Cricetulus griseus: one gene and its partners. The protein of the gene in region 3 interacts with the protein of the main gene of each other region in a biochemical or structural test. Links are inferred from orthologs where the notes say so. Each region holds a gene or a part of one and is shown on either strand. Other genes may lie near its edges.

Evidence for each region.
Region 1: of the proteins of Prkcb (region 3) and Rasgrp3, one has a biochemical effect on the other in vitro, tested with the Homo sapiens proteins (2 studies listed by BioGRID). The link is inferred for Cricetulus griseus from reciprocal best matches to the Homo sapiens genes PRKCB and RASGRP3.
Region 2: the proteins of Prkcb (region 3) and Rack1 form a complex in vitro, tested with the Homo sapiens proteins (2 studies listed by BioGRID). The link is inferred for Cricetulus griseus from reciprocal best matches to the Homo sapiens genes PRKCB and RACK1.

What each region holds. Positions count from the first base shown.
Region 1 is NC_048600.1:8,319,289-8,323,526, reverse strand, and holds the start of Rasgrp3 (ras guanyl-releasing protein 3), read left to right. Parts: upstream 1-1,324; 5' UTR 1,325-1,680; intron 1,681-4,238. UniProt on the Homo sapiens protein: Guanine nucleotide exchange factor (GEF) for Ras and Rap1.
Region 2 is NC_048600.1:63,457,152-63,461,384, forward strand, and holds the start of Rack1 (receptor of activated protein C kinase 1), read left to right. Parts: upstream 1-1,400; 5' UTR 1,401-1,522; coding exon 1,523-1,631; intron 1,632-1,906; exon of another isoform or gene 1,907-1,974; intron 1,975-2,631; coding exon 2,632-2,803; intron 2,804-3,052; exon of another isoform or gene 3,053-3,132; intron 3,133-3,287; coding exon 3,288-3,435; intron 3,436-3,868; exon of another isoform or gene 3,869-3,936; intron 3,937-4,114; coding exon 4,115-4,210; intron 4,211-4,233. UniProt on the Homo sapiens protein: Scaffolding protein involved in the recruitment, assembly and/or regulation of a variety of signaling molecules. Interacts with a wide variety of proteins and plays a role in many cellular processes.
Region 3 is NC_048596.1:78,377,570-78,381,807, reverse strand, and holds the start of Prkcb (protein kinase C beta type), read left to right. Parts: upstream 1-1,384; coding exon 1,385-1,557; intron 1,558-2,559; coding exon 2,560-2,591; intron 2,592-4,238. UniProt on the Homo sapiens protein: Calcium-activated, phospholipid- and diacylglycerol (DAG)-dependent serine/threonine-protein kinase involved in various cellular processes such as regulation of the B-cell receptor (BCR) signalosome, oxidative stress-induced apoptosis, androgen receptor-dependent transcription regulation, insulin signaling and endothelial cells proliferation.

The DNA of each region.
Region 1 (4,238 bases), on a different chromosome or scaffold from region 3:
GAATCTCCATATTGTTTCCCCTGTTAATCACTGAAGAGTTTCCAGAAATCTCCCTCTTCCTTGACTATTTGGTGCATACTGGATTGTCAGGATAATGAAGTGACTGACACGGATCATCAGGTCCAGAAGTTTCTGTTACTGTAAACAGGGAGTATAAATAAATCAGAAGAGAATTCCAAATGATTAGCAGACTTCCTCTTCTGTAGGTGCATGGAGATTGAGTCACCAACACAGGAGTGAAAAATCCTGTGGAGATGATGTGTTTCAGGGCGTTGCATCCTCAGATCTGGAGTTTATATCTATTGCTGACTTTAAACTCTCACTGATGGGTTTTGATATTCCCAATGGTTTCCATTTATACTCTGGGCTTTCACAATTAGGTAAAAAGTTAGACCTGAGAAATTGATCCTCTTCCTCCACTTCTTCCTCCCCTCCTTTCTTTTTAATAATAAATTTTATACAGAGGGAAATTTCTGGATTAATTTTCACCACAAATAATTATAAGATGAACCCCAGTTTGGAAGATGGGCCATACATGCTCCTGAGAGAGTTTACACTTGTTAAAAATCAAGGCTGACAGTAGCAGGCTAGTATGACTCAGAAATCCCCTGGGAGACTTTAACCATGCATTGCCGATGTTCTCTTTTCCAAATGAGCAGACTGTCTGCCACATCTCCACTCTCCCTCCAAAGGTGAGCTCCTCACCTTAATATTCCAAGAAGTCCGAGACTCAAGGCCAGACACCTTCTAAAGCCACACACTCCAAAGGTTTTCTTAGGAGAGAAAAGTGATAAAGATGAGAAGGGAAAACTAAACCCTGGTGGATCCAACACAGTGGGCCGGCTAGTCTGCCACTGCTGCGAGCCACACAGAAACTGCTTCTGTCCCAGCTTCCCAGCAACATATTTGCAAAGTGGTAGTTTCTCTTTCCAGTCACCCTGACTGACAATCTCAACTGCTCTGTGGTTCCCCAGAATGTAGACAGCAATGTGGAAGTGAGGTTTGGGGCCACAGATAATCATTTCCATGGCTTTTTGACAAAACTTCATGGGATATTCTTCCATCATCCCCTATGTTCTTGCCCCTGGCCATCTCTGGCTGCAGCAGCCCTGAAGCATTCTTAAGAGGGCTAAAGTTTGCCCTCCTTGGGACAGTCCCCTTTATTGTGTGGAGAACCCTGGAGTTCTGAGAAAATGAAACCAAGATTGACTATTGTAAGAGCACCTGACCTGTAAAAGCAACTTCCACCTGCTGGCTTGAACTCCTGCTTCCCTTTTCTTGCTGACTAGACACACCTTAAGTGAGGTGGGAGAGTAGAGGCTGTCAGCCTCCCCACCCCCACACAAACGCAGTTAGCTTTCTGTTTGCAGTGACCTGCCCTCCTGTGTGACTTATCAGCTCTTCGGGCATTTATCTCTAGAAGGAAAACAAACGGTGGAATGTCCTGCCCCGCATGCTAATGAAGTGGCCAAGCCCACCCACAGCTTACCAGAAGGTTTACCAGCTGGGAGAATAATGAGCTTCGGTTTCTGACCTCCTGGCACCGCTCGGTGTTTATCAGGAGGTGCATATGACTGGTTAAGACACAGCCTGGCTCGAAGGGAACAGCCGCTGGTGGCATGCTCACACTTGGCAGCCAGACAGGCAAAGCGCTGCTGTGAGGAAGAGAAACTCACCCTAGTAAGTCAGTAACCTGAGACTGTCCTCTCTCTCTCTCTCTCTCTCTCTCTCTCTCTCTCTCTCTCTCTCTCTCTCTCTCTGTGTGTGTGTGTGTGTGTGTGTGTGTGTGTGTGTGTGTGTGTGTGTGTGCTCGAGATTCAAGCCACCACCAATTTATTATGCCATCTGGATTTTGGTACCCTGTGACATTGTATTTGTATTTGTTAATTTGTGGGTTTTACTATTTAAGACTGTTCTTTTTAGCCACAGTGTCTTCTAACTTTGAGGATGGAAGACTTTGTCTAGCAAAGGAGTTGATTTCTAGGTGTCCCAGGATTTTTAGGTTCATAGCCAGGATTTAAATCACCTAGGAGTGAACTGGTGGGTAGGAGCAGATGGCTGGAGTTTTGCTAATATTTTATCACTGAAACTTGGAAAACCATATCTGTTAAAAAAAAATGGTGAATTTATGGTATGACTGACTTGACCATTGTGAGTCAATTCTGAAAAAGAATTGTGTAAGAGTCTGCAAAACACACTTATAAATTGACATCTGCATCAAATGTCACTTGAGGTTCTAAGCATGCTTTCCGGTTCATTGAACGCTTAACTTTACAATATGTTTCTTCTATAAACTCACACTCGCTCATGACTTTAAAGCTAACATAATGCTGGGTGGTGTTGGCGTACATCTTTAATCTCAGTACTCAGGTGGCAGAGGCAGGCGGATCTCTGTGAGTTCAAAACCATCCTGGTCTACAAGAGCGAGTTCCAGGACAGCCTCCAAAGCTACACAGAGAAACTCTGTCTGGAAAAAACAAAAAATAAAACAAAACAGAACCATAATAAAAGCTAACATAACACTTCCAGTTGTTTTGGGTCCTCCTTGTTTTAGTAGCTGTGTGGTGCTCAGGGTCTTTGGTTTTTTGTTTGTTTGTTTTGTTTTATTTTGTTTTTTCTCCTTGTTGATGACTCAGATTATGAAAGCGTTCAATGACAGAGTTTGCTCTGGATAGAGTGGCAAAGTGGGAACACCAGTGGGTCAGAGCTGTTGCTCAGGGACTTTTGGCCCATGTGGAGGAAAGAGTAGGCAAAGGTCTGACTGATGATGTAGCCTCTAAAAGTGGCAAGCCTCTGCATCAACAGGGCAGGAAAGATGACCAGGCAGGTTCCTTTTTCTGGATTGCCTGGTCAGTCCTGAGGGATCAGAGCAGGGCTGTATTCTTTCAGAGTCTCAGGAGATGGTGTTTTGCTTGAGATGCGACTAGGATCTTCTGAGTTGAGCTTCCCCAAGATTACTGATGGTTTGCCCTCAAGAGTCAAGTTGTTCCCTTTGCTTGTAAGCTCTGCCTGAGGGCACACAGGTTCCTCTTCACCCCTACCTTGCCCCCTTGCATGTGGAGATGGTATGAAAATAATGGTGAGTCTCCAAAGAAGCACAGCTGACCTTGAACATCTCACCAGCCATGATCCCTAAGGAGACAGCTTTGGGTGCTCTGTGGGGTGGGTGTGGGAGGTGTAAAAAAAACAAAACAAAAACAACAAAAAGAGACTAATCTGGCTAGTCTGGCACCTGAAGCTCTTCTTTTCCTTAAAATGTGGAAGAATCTGCAAAAATCTTGAGTGTCCAAGGAGGGAAAAAATATAGCTCCAATTCTTTGTTCCTCTTTATGCCATTTTGTGAGGTCCTGGAATCAGCTGGCATCTTCCCTGTATAGCCTGGGACTTCTTCCCTGTCTCACTGCAGATGGCTGCTGTTTCCTGGGCCATTCTTGAGAGTTCCTGTTTAGCAGAGTCCACATCTTCTACAGGTTAACAATGGAGAAAACAAAACCAAAACAAAAACCTCTCCAGTGAAATCTTGTCTCCAGAATAATAGCTCCTCTGATAATAAAATGAAATATCTATTGACTACTAAACTAAGGACCATTCTCAGATGAGACAATAGATTTATGATAATATACAGGGATGAGGTGAATCTCGGTGGTCAGCACTTGCCATGAAGTCCTGGGTAAACACTTCTTCCCCACCAAGCATATCCAATGGGATGTCTATGTGGGACTCAGTGTCCTCTGAATTGTCCAACTTCTGAAGTTTTGACCTCTCAAAGATTTTGAGCAATGCAGTGATACCCCCTTTTCAAAGTACTGATAAAAATTATTTTTAAGAAGTCATTAATTTTACTTGCAAATAATATATATCACAGTGTCAAAGAACTTTAGATCTGGGTATGAGTTGTAAAATGTTCAGTTAAACACATGCATTTTGAAGATGGGGAAAATTGCAGCACATGTTTCTACTGTAGTAACTATATTCCAATGTAGAAGCAGAAAAAAATACCTAAGGTTCGGATACTGGTAAAGAGATAATCAATACTAGTAAACATTGTGTATTCTTCTTGTGCATTTATCATACCTAATGATGTCCACAGGTGTATGCATTTTCATAGACTGTTTATAGTAATGTTACCTGTTGTCTAACCAGTGTTTGGCTCACGGTACCGTGGCTTAACAATTTTATCAACTGTGTAATGGTGTGAAAGTGACAGGAATTCAATGGAAACCATGCTTTGAATCTTG
Region 2 (4,233 bases), on a different chromosome or scaffold from region 3:
CAAACTTCACTTTTTTTATTTTTGGTTTTTGGAGACAGGGTTTCTCTGTGTAACATTCTTAGCTGCCCAGGAAATCACTCTGTAGGATAGGCTGGCCTCAAACTCATTGAGATCCGCCTGCCTCTGCCTCCCGAGTGCTGGGATTAAAGACATGCGCCACCACCACCCAGCTCCCTACTTCACTCTTAACCACATTGCCTTACTCTACCACAAGATGTAAATTATTGCAAACAAAATGGCCATCTGGCTTTTTCTTTCTTTCTTCTGTTCATAGCTGTATCCTAAAGCCTAAAACAGCAGTTCAGCAACAGAACTAAAATAAATAAATGTGACCTTTAGTTCATAGATGTTAGTGGTTGCTACCATCCTAACTGGTGGTCCTTTTTAAAAATATTTAAACTGGAGAGATGGCTAAGAGGTTGAAAGCACTGGCTGTTGTTCTTCAAGAGGTCCAGAGTTCAATTCCCAGCAACCACAAGGTGGCTCACTACCATCCATAACGAGATTTGCTCTCTTCTGGCGTGCAGGAACATATGCAGGCAGAACACTATATGGATAAATAAATTTAAAAATTAAAAAAAAAATAGGCGGGCTGGGCGTTGGTGGCGCACGCCTTTAATCCCAGCACTAGGGAGGCAGAGGCAGGCGGATCTCTTGGAATTCGAGACCAGCCTGGTCTACAGAGTGAGTTCCAGGATAGGCTCCAAAGCCACAGAGAAACCCTGTCTCGAAACCCAATTCCCCCCCAAAAAAACCAAACAAACGAAAAAAAAAAGTTGTAAAATTTAAGGAGAGATCTGTGACATCGGAGGGCCACTGCAAACTTAAGTGTTGAGATTAAGGTCATCAGGTTACCAAATTATCAGTGTTCCTCCGCTTCCCTGTCCAGCCACTTCTTTCAGGGCTACACAAGACAAACTAGCAGGCTTTTCTGTGGAATGGTCAGAGTCACAGAAAGGGATTCCAATAAAAATCCCTTAAAACAAAAGGGCCAGATTGGACGGCACACGCCTTTAATTGCAACTTCAAATATACTTCCTTAGGTCATAGCTTAAATCGGAGTCGCCAACCCAGGAACCGGAACACCAAGCGAAAAGGGCGGGGCGCCGTCTCTGCCACGTAGCCGGGGAGGGAGGAGCCGCTGCAGTATGGCGATGAGCCGGTCGTCTTACTTTTCCTTCCTGAACACGTACTAATCTGCCGAGGAGCCTTTATTAAAACCCAGTAAAGCTTACTTAAGAACGCATTTGTTCAGCAGTCGCCAAATTATGTTCCGTGGCAGAAGAAACGGCGACATTGCGACTTACCGCGCCCAGCCCCTCCCACTACCTGGTGACGCCATCTTTGAGCAGCAGGGAATCATGGGAACCCCCGCCTTGCTCTCCGGGTATTTCCGGTTCCGCCGGAGGCCGCTCTTTCTTTTTCTCCGCGGCGTCGCTGTGGCTGCCGCTGTGGTGCTTGGCTCTCTGAGCTATCCGGTGCCATCCTTGTCGCTGCGGCGACACTCGTATCAGCTGCAGCCATGACGGAGCAGATGACCCTTCGTGGGACCCTCAAAGGCCATAACGGCTGGGTAACACAGATCGCCACCACCCCGCAGTTCCCAGACATGATTCTGTCTGCGTCTCGAGGTACGGGCTGCATGCCGGGCGAAATAGCGCGTTTCCCGGGGACTGCGCGTCTCCTGGCTTCGCAGGTGGCGCGTGGGTTGGCTGGCTTGGTCCATTCCCCCACCCAGTTATGAGTTGGGGCGTGCAGACCCGAACCTGGGCCCCAACTAGGGCGACCCTTTGCACATGGACGGAAACCGAGAGGTGTCGCATAACTCCCATAAGATTAGGTGACTAAATCTCTTCGTCTGTCTTCTCGAGATATATTTAAGTAGTTAGGGAGCTACAAGCCAGGCGGAGCAATGATGACCCCAACATGCCATCTGAGCTACTTTGCTGAAATCCAGAGGCTGTTTCTGAGCTGCCGTCTGGCCCTGAGCTCTGAGCAGTGCGTAAACTAAGGCTTTTTATTTTTCCTCATGACTTATCTTTATCATGATTTGCCCACCCAGGTCTCCCTATCTGCCCAAATTTATGTTCATTCTCGTGTGAAGCTTATCAGGCACTTTATTCGTTTCTGTATGGTTTGACATGGTGCATGGCTAGGACTGTCTTATTCTACCATAGCTACTGCATTTCTAGTCAACCCTTAAAGGCACAAAAGGTGGTCTGCTTATCCCACACCCAAGTGACTTTGCTACTTTTGAGTTAGCCTTGTGCTGGAGTGATGATAGATAAAACTGGCTCCTCAAGGGGACTAGGTAAGGTTTGTTTCCCAGAACCCACATGGTGACTTGCAATTGTAGGTAGTTACAGGGAATCTGACACCCTCTTCTAAAAACAACATGGGCACACATGGAGGGGAAACATTCAACACAAATTAATCTTGGGTTGGATTTGAGTTTCAATCCCAGCAAGTGTGGTACCCCATAGTCTCGGGTGTGCCTTACATCTTTTCAGTTCCTCTCACTGAATGTAGTGATGCTCCCCTTGTTATTACACCAGTAACCGTAAAGCACTGTAAATTATGCCCAGTATATAGGTGTGGGTGCCTATGTAATTTCTTCCCCAACCTTTTCAGACAAGACCATCATCATGTGGAAGCTAACCAGGGACGAGACCAACTATGGCATACCACAGCGTGCGCTTCGAGGTCACTCCCATTTTGTCAGTGATGTCGTTATCTCCTCTGATGGCCAGTTTGCCCTCTCAGGCTCCTGGGATGGAACACTGCGCCTCTGGGATCTCACAACGCAAGTAGCTGCTTTGGGACCTTGGGGGAGAGCTGGGCAAAATTGAGGTAGATTCCCGAGGGTGTGGTCTCCCTCGGAAATTGGTTTTTTTATGGAGGGTGGGGTAAGATGTTGGTGTTGACCTCTTTGAGGAGGGAGCTAGAGGGCTGTCGTGTAGTTGGAGCGTTTTTACCGGGTACCGCCAGCTGTTAAAATAAGTGTTTCATCTTGAAAGCTGTCCTAGATGAGCATTTGGCAGGTGTAATAGAGGATCCTAGTGATGACAAGAAGACATTGTCAACCAATCCCCACAAGGGAATGAGGACATGTCCTGCAATTCTGAATGGGTTCTCTGGCACATACCAAGAATGGGCTAATAATAGAACAAAGCCACATATAAGCTGTGTGGAGTGATAGAGCCTACTGGAGCAGCAATGTAGCCAAGAAAAGGGTCTGACTAAAAGGATAAGATTTGTCTAGAAAGTGACCAGGTTCTCCCATTTAGGGGCACCACCACGAGACGATTTGTAGGCCATACTAAGGATGTACTGAGTGTAGCCTTCTCCTCCGACAACCGGCAGATTGTGTCTGGATCTCGAGACAAGACCATAAAGTTATGGAATACTCTCGGTGTCTGCAAATACACTGTCCAGGTAAAGTGATGGAGGTAAAGGCTACAAGTTAGAGGTTATCTCCCAGCCCTTGGGGATTTTGTTGCAGTTTTGAGATGGTTCATTACTATGTAACCCTGCTTAGACTAGAACTTTGGTCTGCTTATTGCATGCTGGGATCAAAGCTGTGTGCCACCATCTAGCTCTTTTGTAATGTGTGGCATTTGTCTGGGATTTGGTTGGTTTTTACTATATATTTAATGCATTCTTGCTCATGAGTGGCTTGGGACTTGGGAGTTGATTTTTCTTCTGAGTTGGGGCATGGAACCCTAGGCCAAGGCATCTATTGGGCAGGCCCTTACACATGAGCAAATACCCAGATGTGTCCCATAACTTCCCTAAGGGTTAGGGGGTTTTAAAATCTCTACCTACCTCCTGGAAGTATGTTTAAGTACTTGGGGGCTACAAGCCAGGCAGAGCAGTGATGACTCCAACATGCCATCTGAGGTGCAGTGCTGAAATCCAGAGGCTGTTTCTGAGCTGTGCCTGGCACTGTGCTCCATGAGGAGGCATCCTAGGACTCAAATATGAATCAGCAGGCTTGACAAATGACTTTACCAACTGTTCTGTTGATCCAGAAGTATAGGTTTGCCAGAGAGTGCTGTTGCCCCACTTAGGGTAGTTATCTGTAGTCCTCTTACTTACCTTGCATCTTCTGTAGGATGAGAGTCATTCAGAATGGGTGTCTTGTGTCCGCTTCTCCCCGAACAGTAGCAACCCTATCATCGTCTCCTGTGGATGGGACAAGCTGGTCAAGGTGAGCTTCAACAATGGCCTGGC
Region 3 (4,238 bases):
GTGGGGGACTTAGGTGCGGTACCTTATATAACACCCAATGTCATCATTGATTACCTTCTCACTCTTTAATTTTCATCTGGGGAGAGTGTGGCATTGGATATTAATGTGCCCCAAATACTTTGGAATCTCCTTTCCCAATAAACAAAGGCTTCACATGACCACAGAACCCAGAGAGATTTTAACAACACAAACCTCGGTACATCCAACCTCATAGACCTTTCCTTTTAAGACACTGAACAAATATGACTAGGCTTTGTGAAGCTGGGTCCAAAGTGAATGGCATTTAGGGAAACATTCATTTGTTAAATTTATCCCCCCTCCTTATTAGCCTCATTTTATAGTTGGGGGAACTGAGTCCTTTTGTGGAGAGAGTTCTCTTCTAAGGGTTCAAGCAAGCAGAGACAGAGACAAGTCTTCCTTGTGGTGGAGTTAGATATGTATAATATAAAGCATGCTCTTCCCTTACCTCTGCAGAACGTGTGTGTGTGTGTGTGTGTGTGTGTGTGTGTGTGTGTGTGTGTGTGTGTGGCCACAGTCCTTTCCGGATGAGTGACAGCGAAAGCCCATCCCTTCAGGAGACGCATGAGGAATGACCAATGGGATGGATGGAGGGTGTTGGGTATCAGTCTCTGCAGAGGCCACGGTGAAACTGGCTGTGTCCAGCCTGTTCCACCCTCTTCTCCCTGAGCCCCTCAGGCCCTTCTGCATTTGGTTCTCATTGGGGAACCGGAGGTGCTCATCTTAATGCACTAGGGGCTGAAGATAGGGTGCCAGGGGTGCGGCTCGGGTCTGTCCAGCGCAGTCTGCGGTCCCCGCGCTGCAGCGCTGCGGCTAAGAACACTTGGTTGGGAGGCCGGCAGGCTGCAGCGTGTGTGTGTGTGGTGTGTGTGTGTGTGTGTGTGTGTGTGAGAGAGAGAGAGAGAGAGAGAGAGAGAGAGAGAGAGAGAGAGAGAGAGAGAGAGAGAGAGAGAGAGAGAGAGAGAGAGAGAGAGAGAGAGAGAGAGCCTCTGTGTGTGTGTGTGTGTGTATGTGTGTGTGTGTGGTGTCAATATGTAAAGCAATTGGAGGCTCTGGGCGGGGCCTGGGTCCGATGCAAATGAGGGAGGCGGGGTTACCCTGTGGCTCCGCCTTCCTCCCCCGCAGCTGGGGCCAGCGGTGCCAAGCACAGCTGGACCAGCGGCAGCAGCTGGGCGAGTGACAGCCTAGCTCCGCGCGCGCGGCCGCCACCAGAGCCGGCGCGAAGGGGCAGCGCGGCCCCGCGGTCCCCGGCGGCAGCAGCGGCCGCCTAGTCCCGCGCCGCGCCTCTCCGGGCCCGCAGCCCCGCGGTCCCGCCGCCCCGGGGCCGCCACCTCTCGGGGCTCCCCCCGGTCCCCGCGCGCGCAAGATGGCTGACCCGGCTGCGGGGCCGCCGCCGAGCGAGGGCGAAGAGAGCACTGTGCGCTTCGCCCGCAAAGGCGCCCTCCGGCAGAAGAACGTGCACGAGGTGAAGAACCACAAATTCACCGCCCGCTTCTTCAAGCAGCCCACCTTCTGCAGCCACTGCACCGACTTCATCTGGTGAGAGCGCGCCGCGCGGGCCACCTGCCCGGGGCCCCGGAGGGCAGCGACACGCGTGGGGACCCCTCTAGTCGTCCTCGGTTGGGGGGGGGCCGAGGAACCGGGTGCTCATCTCCATCCCGCTGGACCCTTCTGTCCCGCTCTCTGGGATGGCTAATCCCCCAGGTGCTGGGTCCTCTGGTCCCAGACGGTTGGCCCAGGCACCTCCTGCCCTCTTGCACTCTGTCGCTTGAGCACCCAGGGACAGCGCTGCAGGCGCCTTTTTGACACCTGGCTCAGGGCGCCTGGTGACTGTCCCTCCTCGGCAGGGCAGCTCCGCGGGTGTCTTTCTCGCCTGGGGTTCCCGATCTTTCTGCCTTCTTCCGGGCTCGAGGCGCTCTCACCCTCACCCCTCCTTTCCGGGGCAGCTCCCTGGGGTGTCCTCTGGTTCCCCGGGGCGTGGAGCATCCTTCCCTCCAACGTGTCCCTAGAGTAGCGCCCTGGCTAATCTCTTACTGCGTCCCCAGAATCCTGAGCCCCCCTTATTCCTCAGTTCTCACCCTCACGTTGCTGCAGGGCCCCTTTATTCTCCCTGCCTCTCCAGGAGTGGGGCGACCTTTTCTTTCTCCTAGTCTTTCAGGGGACATCGCTGCGGAGGAGTCCCTCTCATCCTCCCTCTAGACAGGTCCTTTTCTCTTTCCCCGAGGGTACTCCCGGCATTTCCTTGGGCAGATATCCAGCCCGCCTTCCGCCCCCACCCGGACGGAAATGCACCCTCGTACCCCGCCACCTGGTGGTCGCGGTCTCGTCTGAACTACCGGGGAGATCTGAGGGGGGAGTTAACTGCCAAGCCCCAACAATGTACCCCACAACCCTATCCAAGGTGGAAGACGCTTGAACACCGGCCTGTAGCTAGGAGGTTGCATCTGAGGTAGAGGGACAGTGGGAAGGGAGGGGGCTACTGTGTGAAACCAGCTGGTAACTGGACCCCTCAGACTGATACTCCTCTTTGTGCTTTTACAGGGGCTTCGGGAAGCAGGGATTCCAGTGTCAAGGTAGGCTCTGTGGCTCTGTGGATACTGCTGGTGGAAAGTGAGGCTAAAACAGACTTTGCAGACGTGGCTGAGTTAGGCAGAGTGAAGTAATCCTGCCTGTCAGAGTGACCTCCCAGGCTAGGAATCCTTCACCACCACAGGGTCCTTTTAAGGGGTGTGTGTTTGGGCCAGTGATGCACCATCCAGGAGAGGCTAGTGGAGCTGGAAGGCCCTAAATGTCAAAAAGTGCATCCATCCCTCTGCCTTCTGAGCATTCTATTGGAATTGTCAGCCCTGCTTAAGTAAGGAAATGTCCTGAAGGACTCCTGTGTGTGGAGGGAACCAATCTTTCTTCCTAATCTCAGCCCTTTCCTGCACATTGCTCTTCCCCACCTCCCAGAACGAGGTTCAGCCTCTTTTCCTTGCTTTGCAGAGGTCTCAGCAGGTGGCTGCCTCCTCTGCAGATGGCGCATCCCCTAGAAAAGCAACTGTGGTTTCCCCTGGGCCTCCTCCCTCTCTGAAAGGGGTGGTTGCACATAGGGTGCCTCTCGGATCCTGCCTGAGATTGCCCTTTTTAACTTCTGAGGAGGCACAGGAAGAGCTCCAAGAGATTGGTTGCCTGGGTCCTTGCATCTGGCTTGAGAGCCATGATTCCAACTTAGGGGTGCCCTATCAAATATCAGAGACCTGGTGGCCTCTTCTGTCTCTAGGGCTCATGTCTACAAGATGGCCTGAGAGCTGGGCAATGTAGCTCAGGAGAGTGCTTGCTTTGTGCTAGAGAGGTTCTGGAATGCATCACCCGAAGCGGGGAGGGGAAAAGATGGGTTTTAAATTGGATCTCCAAAGATGACTAGCTTTAGACTTGTTTAACCCTTAGAATGCCATAGTTTATGAATTTGGTGTTAGCATCTTAGAACTGCAAGATCACACACACACACACACACACACACACACACACACACACACACACGCACGCACACACGCACGTACATACTCATGTATACAGCTTCAACTTGTTGAACATTGGCTCTACTTTCATGCTAAAGCAATCATTTGGAACTGAGGACATCCATTTATCCATTTGCCAAGACAGGGGACACATTTACCACTGTGTCTGTCCATCCACACTGGCCTACTTCTGATCTCCTTAGCCATTTGAATTTGCTAGTTTGTTCCCCTTTGCCCCTTTAGGCCAGGTGTAGTTGAGTTTAGTCAGAAATGGTTCTTTATTCCACTCCTCCCCTACTTTCCTCTCCCTTGTCCTCCCCTCCCTTGTCCTCATTGCTCCTCCTATCTTTTCCTCTCTCCTTCCTATCTCCCTTCTCCATCCCCTTTTCTTCTCTCTCAGTCTGACTTCGGGCCCAGACTGGCTTTGATCTGGATGTTCTTCTGGCCTCCTCTTTTAGCCTCTCAAGTGCTGGGATTACAGGTGTGCTCAGGGTAAATTGACATCCACTACCCTGTAAACTGGGTTTAAATCTGGAGAAGAAAGCATTAGGGTGTGGAATACCCTGAAGTGTGTCTTAGTGCCCACGAGCAAGCTTTGCCTTGCAAGGTTACTCTGCAGGCAAAAATAAAAAGACCCAACAAGTGGACTTGGCTCTGTGATTTTCAGGGAATGTTGGCCTAGAGTGTATGTGCCTTGCTGCCCTAACGCTGCAGGTTCTT